Arabidopsis thaliana: one gene and its partner. The protein of the gene in region 2 interacts with the protein of the main gene of each other region in a pairwise test. Each region holds a gene or a part of one and is shown on either strand. Other genes may lie near its edges.

Evidence for each region.
Region 1: the proteins of AT2G34150 (region 2) and BRK1 interact in a two-hybrid assay, tested with the Arabidopsis thaliana proteins (one study listed by BioGRID).

What each region holds. Positions count from the first base shown.
Region 1 is NC_003071.7:9,620,899-9,624,959, reverse strand, and holds BRK1 (BRICK1), read right to left. Parts: upstream 1,964-4,061; 5' UTR 1,678-1,963; coding exon 1,545-1,677; intron 1,147-1,544; coding exon 1,022-1,146; 3' UTR 625-1,021; downstream 1-624. Other genes in the region: AT2G22650 (FAD-dependent oxidoreductase family protein), read left to right, coding at 1-257; AGL17 (AGAMOUS-like 17), read right to left, coding at 3,319-3,453, 3,611-3,694, 3,966-4,007. UniProt on the Arabidopsis thaliana protein: Involved in regulation of actin and microtubule organization. Part of a WAVE complex that activates the Arp2/3 complex.
Region 2 is NC_003071.7:14,418,543-14,425,392, forward strand, and holds AT2G34150 (SCAR family protein), read right to left. Parts: upstream 4,930-6,850; 5' UTR 4,718-4,929; coding exon 4,563-4,717; intron 4,320-4,562; coding exon 4,156-4,319; intron 4,150-4,155; exon of another isoform or gene 3,864-4,149; coding exon 3,740-3,863; intron 3,633-3,739; coding exon 3,536-3,632; exon of another isoform or gene 3,505-3,535; coding exon of another isoform or gene 3,445-3,504; coding exon 3,377-3,444; intron 3,299-3,376; coding exon 1,702-3,298; intron 1,615-1,701; coding exon 1,519-1,614; intron 1,150-1,518; coding exon 1,045-1,149; intron 950-1,044; coding exon 890-949; 3' UTR 721-889; downstream 1-720. UniProt on the Arabidopsis thaliana protein: Involved in regulation of actin and microtubule organization. Part of a WAVE complex that activates the Arp2/3 complex. Regulates trichome branch positioning and expansion.

The DNA of each region.
Region 1 (4,061 bases), 4.8 Mb from region 2:
GGGAATTTGCGGGAGCAAGGGCGGGCTTGAGAGCAATGCCACCTGTCACAAGCCATGGATCACTGCCGCTCTTGGGATGTGTTAATCAGCTCATAGGTGCTGGTCAGTTTTGCAACTTCTGGGTATTTTCAGGGCTCGGATCAAGGGGACTACTCTATCATGCTTGGCTTGGGAAACTCATGTCTAAAGCTGTTTTAAGTTGCAATGAAGAATTACTTCCTTCTGAACTAACTTCTTGGAAGAAAAACAGACAATAAGAGTACCATTGTTTACTTCTCAGTTCTCACTCTTGTTTGCAGCTTCAAGCTTGGAAGCTTGGTCAACACAGCAAATCTCAATTCAGACAAAACAAAAACTGAGTTCAGAATATTTTTTTAAAAATGGTCAATCATCCATAGTCTACAGAACTTTGTGGTTTAGGTACGTAAAACAGAATATTTTCAACAATGGCTTGGTTCTATGGTTGGTCCGCGACCCCTGGATATCGTAGGCATCCGTGGGGTGATCTCATAGTACGTACGGGTGGAGACGATTAGGTCGGTCTCGATGAATCCGAGTGGAACTCAAAAAAACAATGTGAGTCACAAATGCAGACAGAATCTAATGGAGGAAAAGAGATGTGAGCTTTTTCGGTTTTTTCTTCCTCCATTGATGAAAAAGAAAAAATGGGCAACAAGAGCGTTTTACATGTGTTCCACTTTAAGAGAAAAGACGAATATACAAATCCGATGCATAGAAGATGAAAAGGGTACCTCTGCAAAGTTTATAAATCAACAGCAGAAGAAAGCAAAAACTTCAAGAGTTCAACGAAATGACTTGTCATTCAAAAGAGATCTTAATGGACAGAAAAAAGATACACATATTTATGAATAGATTCATATTTTAAGCTACTAGTTTACTTACTACCACAGCTATGTGAAGAAAGAAAGAATCATTCAATGGTACACATTCAACAACAGACTTCTTCTGTTAAAGCCAAAGGATCAGGCTCGGTTTCGATTTCGATATCGTCTACGGTGTTTCACGTCGCAAACAGAGAAGGATTTGCTGTCGCGGTACTTACTTGCACCTCCAGCATTTCCAAGCGACGTTCCAACAGATCCAACTTCTCATTCAAAGAAGCCAACTTGCTCTTTGTGGTTGATTCTGAAACACACAGAGAAATTACAAACTCACAGACATCAATGACTTCGATAATCAAATTAGCTCATAAAAGAAAGTTTCATCACACACAACATTGTCTAAAACCAGCTAGAATTGAAGCTGAGAAGATCAAAGAGATCATTACAAAGATCTCTCTTAGCACATGGATCTAAGACCATACAAATGCAAATGAAATCTGATCATCTCAACAATTAAAAAGGTGAAATTTTTCACTAACCAACCACCAAAATCAAATCTCCCAATCATCAAAAACCTTACTTTGACAAAAACTCTAAAACAAAGTTTCTAAATTTAGCAAATACGAAATCGAGAAAACTCCAAAATTAGTCAATTGAATTCAAAACCCAACACAGAGAAATAAGTGAGAGAGTGAGGTTTACCAAATTGAACAAGGAATTCGAAGAGACGACGAACATTAAGAGAGATATGTGAGATAAATTCTCGATTCTCCCAATCTGCTTGAACAGCGATTCCTACGTTTACTGCGTTCGTGATCCCTCCAGCTTTCGCCATTATTAAACCCCAAAACTCTCTCTTCCACAAACACAACAGTACTCACAGATTTCGATTTCAAATTCTGAAGCTTTTTAAATAATTCGCCCTTTTTCGATTCAATCCAACGGCAGAAATGATTAAGCAATCGATTAGAGAAGGAGGGTCACCTTCCTTTTTTGGTGTCTCAGAGAAAAAGTTTCTGAATTTTATCGTAGGTTGTTTTTCTTTTAGATGATGTGTGATTGATGAAGAAGAAGTTAAGATTAGAAGAAGAAACGGGTGTTTTATGAGATAAAGAGGAAATATAGGGGCTATTTTATAATTTAAGATATTTGATATTATGTGGTTTGGTTTAATATTTTGGTAGATTGCTTAGTTAGTGTTCAATCTTTTTCGTTCTATTCAAATGTCACTATCAATTAAAAATTGAGCAATTCTTGGTTCTTCGTGCATATATACTATTACAACCAATCTTTAATCTTTGAATTCAAGATACGTTTGTTTTAAAGTCAAGTGAATTATTCGGTATGCTCATTGGTTGTAACTTGTATAACTATTTATAGGTTGTATCTATAATATTTACAAAACAGAACACATATTTCATCATACTAGAATAATTTTAAGTTGTGATTATTTCTGATGAGGCATAACTCATTGTCTATACAACAAATCAAATTTTGAATGGTTGTTCAATTAGCAGTAAACCGGACTAATTATATCAATATTTTTGTAGGTTAAAAGTGGATTACAGTATGCAAAATATTGGACAATAGTATATAATAGAGTGAACTGTGTTTACAATCAAATTTAAGCGCTAAATCAAAATCACTAAATTAATTTATTCAAACCGAGAAACTTATAACCCTCTACTTTTGGACTAAAATTTTGAATCACATAAAATCCTATATTGTACGACCGGTGAAAATTTACATCCCAAGGAAATTAGGGTTTATTTTTCTTCTCCTAGCTCCTCTTAGTTTGATTTCACATCTGAGATTTTTTTTACTTCGTTTTTGTTATTTTAATACGACCAAAAACATAATCTTTTCAGAGATATGTTAAACAATGCAGTTTTCATATGTTGGTCATGGTCATGTAACTTCGTTAATTTCTAGGCTGACTTTTTGCATCGTTTTACCTGAAACGACAATATATAGTATACTCTTTTTGTTTTGCAAATTTTCTCTAAACTATAGAAGCAATCATCTCAAATGAATCTCCCTTTATTAAAAATCTCAATGACTAACAAAAACAAACACACACACACAAAAGTGAGCTCTGATTTTACTTTAGGTAAAGTATAGCTTATATACTAAACCAACCTATATCACACTCAATTTTTTTAGTTAAAATATATATTATATATGTAGTTCATGTATGTCTTAATTATGTACTTAAAACCAAATGTGAAAGCTAAAAAGAATATAATCGAGAAGCTGTTCCATTGCTTTCACTTGAGACCATATATAAGTATATATCGTACAAATCAAACCTTTGGTTTGCTCTCCGACATGATTACACTCACACTTACTCCTGCATGAAAACATATATATTGACATAGTCAAACGAGTCTTCATATATAATATGCACGTATATATATTTGAAAGGGTTTTGAGATAATCAAGAACGAACAATTTGTTATATATCTCTTATATGATCTTAGCTGTTTGAAGATGTCTTATAATGGGACTGCTCAGGCTGGCTTAGCTGCAGCCTAACCTGTGCATGGGATTCATAAACTGCATCTACTAGCTCATGATGTCCCAATCCATTTGTGTTCGACGTTCCATAAGCCTGTATGCAAGACCATTACCACAACACACTTTTGTAACTACGTACGATCTCAATAATTAATTATTGAGATTTGTCTAGTTTCAACTAGGAGATTAATTTGATTTAAAGGATTTGTTAGCTGCAACTTGAAGTAATGAAGTTTGTGTTTCTATTTTACCTTCTTGTATAGTTCGACATTTTCTTGATGAATCCTTTGTACTTTTCTCGACAATTCGAGGTTTTCATGATGAACAAGATTCCTCTGCAAAAGATAAAACACTTATAAGAACCTGAAAACTAGAAATGATAACATTGATTAATAATGCGTTTCAAACTTAAACACAACATCTTTAGTATCTTTTCTCAAAGAACAGATTTTTTTGTAAATTGCAAATGCAAACACAAACCGAAGAAGAAACTAAAAATATCGTTTGCATTTTACATCTGCAAATTATGTGTGTTTACAATGTAAACACAAACAACAACATCCGAGTCTGATTTTTAATAATCATGTGTTATATCATATAGTTTACCTTTCTGGTTAGCTCTTTAATTTCATTGGTCAAAATTTGTTCCTGCAAGGTTCGAAAAGAATAATTAGCTTAAACTTCAATGCTCTATTATCAATT
Region 2 (6,850 bases):
GTACCTATTTCTCTAATATCTAAAAAAACCTACCTACTTCTCAAATAACTTTTGAAAAAATGTCTACTTTACTAATAAACCCTTATTGAAATAACTCCAAAATTCCGTACCGGAATTCCAGAGATAAAATAAAAACCAAAGAGGAGAACAAAATCAACCTCCTTTGAAAAAAACCCAAGCGCAAATGCCACTAGACTACCACCCAGTCACCCACTTGATTTTAGACTTTTTAGTGTTTGTGGTTGCATCTTTTTTGGTAAATCTGGCTGTCTCGCCAATTTTGCTTTGCTCTAGTGATCCAATCAAAATAATTTCTGATTCTCTTTCTTTTAGAAATAATTTTTCCGAACATAAAAGTTTAAGAAATTTAACTTTAATAACGAAATTCATTATGTATAAAATAATTCTCGTGAAATTGTAAGAACTAAGAAGCATATCAAATGCTTATCTTTGATCAAAAAAAAATAAAAAATGCTTATCTTTTGTTGTATCAGATAGAAAGTGAAAATATTTAAAGAAGTGTACAAACAAGGACATAATCTTTTTTCTAGTGTGTCAAGTACTGACTCAAATTAAAGAACACAGCGAATTTCACGGCTTAGGGCTTCGGGTACTTATATAGTACTAATGATTATTTTCCAAGATCCTATATTTGCCAACTCACGTTTTAATGTATACCTAAATAATTTGTTTAAAAAAATAATTAATTCAGTTCTTTTGTTTGTTTAATTATCAATAATCATCTAGAGATTCAGACGTAACATATTCTATAATTATTTTATTTTTCAGAACCTTATCTCTTTGTTGAAGATACAAATATAAACGTACGACAAAATCGACCTATATCTACTACACAATAAACATATGAGAACCGAAATGAATGATGTTGTCATGTGTCGCTATCGCTCCATGTATCGCTTTCGCCTTCTCCATCGTCGCTTGCTACAGCCTGATATAACAAGTCCGAAATGTAAGTGCTTTAATGACCAAAATGGTACTTGCAAACTGAAACGTAAGATTATAAATGTGAATAATGTATGGAACCTGTCGGATAGAGTTTGCCTTCTCTAGAATCACGCTAATATTGGTGTTCATTGTAGTTTCTGATGATGATGTCTTTGTCCTGACCACACGTCTCAAGTTGAATTGCTGTTATGATTCAAAAGGTTGTTGTTGGTTAAGAAAAATGCATTTTATGACTTTGTGGAAACAGAAATGAGAATTGGAGGATCAAAAAATCATTTCTCCCATTTCATTCCTATACAAACGAAACTAAAAACATGTTCAAAATATATTTCCATTTCGATTAAGAGGGAACCGGGACAAAAATGAAATACGAAAACAAATGTATATATTTTTAGTTTTAAGGGTTTGAGTTTTTTTTTTTTTTAATTATCGATTATGTAAATATGTTCCTTAATAAAGGTTACTTTGAATTAATAGAATAGGGAATGCATTTTCATATACCACAGAAATTTTCTATATAGCTAAAATATAAAGCAAGAATAAAAGACTCACTTTAGTTCGAATTTGATGCAAGAAGTCTCCAGCTTCTGTCTCATTTGTGTTGCCATGACTTTGCTTATAATCCCTCACATTGTTCTTCAGATGTACCTATCAACCATCACATAAAATACCTTATACCAAAAAGATGAAAAAAAAAAAACAGTAAAAAGGAGAAGAAAACTTAATTCTCCATACCTTGGTTACAAGTTTAGGATCAGAAACAGTGACAATGTGTGGTTCTTTTTTCTTGACTGCAGTTAAAGAATTGTTGTTCTTCTCAAATGCCTGTGTGAGAGCATCCTTTAGAGACTGCTTGTTGTTATCCTCGAATCCAGCTGACGGTATTTTCGAAACCATCCACTGTAACGGTGGGAGAGGCGGTGGTAATGGCTCAGCTGGATTTTGGAGGTAAGAGACATTTTCAACTAAACAACCATTTGTTGTTTCAATCTTTGGAAATGGAACTGGTAGAGAAGAAGCTTCAGCATTGACTCTGTGAAACGAATCATAGAGCTCTTGTTGCCTCTTGCTTTCTCGGATACCTTCTGATTCTTCTTCCCACTGTTGCTCAGACATTGACACAGAGCGATTGTCATTGTCACTGTTGTCTGAAATGTAAGAAGAAGATCTACAGAAAGTGTCCTTGTCTGAATCAGAATCAGGAAGTGAAGTAGCAATAGTCTCTGGCACCAACTGAAACGAAGAAAATGTATATTCATCTGGAAGTTTTAGCTGTAGTTCAGAACTTGGCAAGGTTTCTGAGGATTTGAAAGATATTTTCATGTGATCAAGTGGAGGAGATGAAGTAAACCAATCAAAAGGAGCCTTATAATCTTCTCTTAAGTGCTCTTGGAAGGTTTCAGAATCAATGTCTTCAACAATCTCTGGAATAGTTTCTGCTATAATTTTCGGTTTCGATGGTTTCAGTCCTAGGAGATTTCCATTAGTCCATGTTTTAATGGATTCAGTGTCACAAGAACTCTCAACTTCTTCTGATTCTTGATGTTCTTGGATACCACTAATATCATACAAAGGATTTGAGAAGCCATTGGAATAACTATGAGTGCCACTACTTATTTCCGAAGCCGCCCATGGATCTTGATGAATCAGTTCATCAGATTTATATACCGGTGATGATGATAAATGTAGCTCTGATGTAGCAGCACATTTTGTCTCATCAACACTAAAGTTGTTAGAAATCTTCTCTGTTTCTTGCTCTGTAATATCATTGTAAAGATTCTTCTGCACCTCTTTAGTGGCTTGGAAAGCTTCATCATTTTCAGATTCTGAATCGATGGTGTAAAGTGCATCAACAAAATCATCCCCTTCGCTTTCAGTCTCATCCTCATTGTCCATTTCCAGTTCCTTCGGTTTGATATCTTGGACCGCTTCAACCGCTGAATGTTCTTTAAGTCTTGATACCGGTTCAGCATCCAAGACAAAGTTAGTTTCCATTACTTCAGGAGCTTCATCTGTTGCACACTGCAGAACATTGCATTCCACTATCTCAGCTTTCTCGTGCCAACTAACACTAGAAGAACCACGAGCTGTTAAATCTTGAGAAGGACTATCACTTTCACTTTCACTTTCAGAAAGAACTGAAGCAATGGTGCGAGAACCCGGTGTAAACCTTGAAGAAGAAGATACCCTCTTCGGTTTCTCTCCACCACTTCTTGAATCGAAAGAGAAAGAACGATGCTCTTGCAAGTCGGATTTCGACTCAATTTCAATCGTTGAAGCAGTTTTAGAGGTAGAGGTTCGTCCACTGAAGCTTAAAGAAGTACATGTCTTCCTGAACATCATATCATATATTCATGTTTTGAGTCATATATGAAAACATCTCTACAATGTCAAATCCAAATGTCATTACCTGTCACTCTGGTTAGCCACAGAGGCAAGTCTTGATATATCTCGACCGCGTTGTATAGATTTTTTCTTCTGCATCATCCATACAAGTTTAGGTAGCAAACAAGAAAAAGAAGAAACTCTACAAAACATGGTATTAACAGACTGAATCTCTAAAACAAACCTTAATCTCTGAAGGTTTAGAAGCTCTTGATGCTCTTTTGAAATGAGTAGGATCCGAGTATCGTTTCAAACAAGAACCTGGACCATTTATATCAAATCTGACAAAAACCGCTAAGAATCAGCATCATATTTATTATCATCAGTCTAAAACATAGCAGAAACAGTAATAACAAAAAAGAAAATGAGAGTTAAAAGGTGTATATACTTGTCAAGCAAGTGTAACCGCGGAGGTTCCCGGCAATCTTCATATGGAGTCATAATAAACGGTGGCAATTCGTCATACATAAAGTGATTTTGCACATTTGGTATACGAGGATGCCACTCCAGACCTAAAACAGCATGTAAACACTATGTTCATTAACTATACTTAAATTTTCTAAAGAACTCAAATAGTGAAAGATCATGACTTATTTAATTAAGATCCATAAGAAAGACTACTAGTATCATTCATCATCAAATTCTAAACTCAAAAAAGAGTATTTTAAGCTAAGAAGTTAGTGCAAAAGGCATGTGAGCTAGGGCCTACAATAAACTCAACAGGATATAAATTTTTGATTAAAGAACAAACATGTGAATCTAGACATTAAAGAAGATTGACAAGAGAAACAAGACAAAAGAAACCTCCAGTGTATGCAAAATGAATGTGATTTGTTTGTGCAAGCACTGTCTTTTGGATTGTAGGAACTTTAGCTTCTATTTGCTTCAATCTCATCTTCAATTTGTTGCTTCTTGATGCTGTTATCATTACCTCCTCTTGTATTCCATGGAATATCTCTGCTGCGAATCTGAAACAATGTGAGTTTAACATAAAAACTCAGGACAAGTAAGATTGGCTGAGAACCATAAAATAAGCAAATGAAGAAGACCAAACACAGCAAAATTAAAGATTTTACAGAGAATCAAAGAAGATCACTGACTCCATATTGTCACATTTTTACTTAAGATTTTTTTTTTTTTAAAAACATTTATAAGTCAATTATAAAAAAAAAGAAACAGAGGAAACAGAGTTGACTTAAAGTACTACTTACTCTGTGAGATCACCGAGTTGACGCAAGATCCCGACGAGTCCAGAAACGGCGACGTCGTCGAGAATCGCTTTAGGGTCTTCACGGTCGACTTTTGTGTGAAGCTCTTTTTGCCCTAAACCGTAGACATTCCTAACTTGGAGCCTAACAAGCGGCATTTGCTCTGTTCTTGAGAAAGATTCCGGAGGAATGATCAGATGGGTTTTGAAGATAAGAAACAAAGATTGAGTTTTTGTGGGTTATGTTGCTTGAGGTGGGTGAGAGATTATGGCAGCTTAACCGCCGAAACGAGAGAGAGAGGGAAAATTTGGAGATTACAAAAAGGTTTTTCGTTGTAAAAAGAGAAAAGAGAGACTCGGAGACATTGCTAACACCGCAAGCCATTCCCTTTTTCAATGTCATCATTTTAACTAAAAGTGCTAAGAGAAAATTACGAAAAAGGGCTTGGAGCAAAAAGAAAGGTACCCATAACCTACCCATATGGAGCGAATCATGATCCAAATTAGTCATTTGTTACTTACATAATTTCCCGAAAATAAACTTTAGTTTTTATAAGAATTTGTTAGTGCTAAACATAAATTATTTAAAAAGAACTATAAACATTTTTAGTCATGTGTATAACCCCTACTTGTAATACTATATTTGTATGCTTAAGTCATCTAATGAGAACTTACTCTGCTTAATCTTCTACTACTAGCTACTAAAACAAAAAACTTCTACTACTTGTAATATTATATCATATACATTTTGCACAAATATGGAGTATAAAACTAGAAGTTAAAGTTTGGATCATTGAATGAGCATTTGAAGACTTCTATTATAAAATAGAAATGCGTTACAGTTTAGATAGCGTTAAAGTTTGAATCATTGAATGAGAATTTGGTCGTTTGCGAGGAAATAGACTTGTTGAGTTGGCTACATATTTATTGGAGAACAAAACTCCCATAAATGAGGCATCAATACATACGTAACACTTGTACTCAAACTCTATAGCTGTGATTTGTTTTTGTTTTTGACACCAACTATATATGAATGATGATGGTACAATTCAAAGATTTTCATAATGAATCTAGTAAAGCGGAAGTGTATGTATTGCCGTAATGGTGTGCCTCTCGCATCCTTGATCTATACAATCAAGTTTGATGTTACAAGAGTTGCATAATATCTTCCATCTACACACGCTGCGTAGTGTGTGCGCGTGTGGGTGAATGTATTCATACATCTATATCTTACACTACTTGAGGACTTGCACACATGCATGTGGATGTGTGACTTACTCCATCCTCGTTTAGGCATATATACACAATAATAAATCATGCACAAGCATTTTAGATCTGTGCTTCTAGAGTTTTGGATCTGGCTCCCATTAACCAAAGCAATTTATCAACTCGAATTCTTTTGTCGTTTTTCTTGATACTAACATATAAATACATTTTATTTATAAACTACAGTTCAGACATATGGATCGAAGATCCACAGTACTACTCCAGTACTCCATACAAGCTAATACACAGTATTAGAAGTAATCAATTCTTATGGTCCTTGGTAGGTATAGTATTATTAAATAAGTGATGCGATTAGATCAATGCATGACTTTTAGCTGGTCGTCTATTTATGGATGCTACCTAAACATAAATTTAATCACATGTCATTTATTATTTATTATTACTCCTAAATTGTTCTGTCCATTAAATATTTTATAAGTTGTTACTTGCTACTCCTATCAACCATTAATGGTAATCTTTGACGCAGATTCTATGAGCTATACTATTGCATTGTTTTCCATCATATATTATCAATCACAAGTAACTCTTCACAAAAAATGGCGGTCAATAAAGTGACACTTACAAAACTCAATGGTTTAAATAAAAACTACAACATTGCTGAAAAATATACATAAATTTTAAACACGAAATTGGTTAACAAAACAAAATTGGCGGTCATCTCATGTTTTTTTTTATATCATAGTAAATCTCGAAATGTGCTTTGATTAAAGATCAGACCATCGAATGGTGCACTAGCATTCTCATATAATTTGACATATAAAATAGTATAAGTAACAATATACTAATATAGTAGTAGTATATTAATCATTTGCATAAATATAAAACAAGAATTGGTCCAATGACCCATCGATGGCATCAATGCCTTGTTCTTGGATGAAACGTGGCATATACAGTACGGTGTCGGATTAAGACATGATACCATAATTAGATATCGTATTTTTCGAAAACGTCAATATGTTGTTAGTTGATTTTATGAGAGGCAGGTTTTTCCAATAAGATAATCTT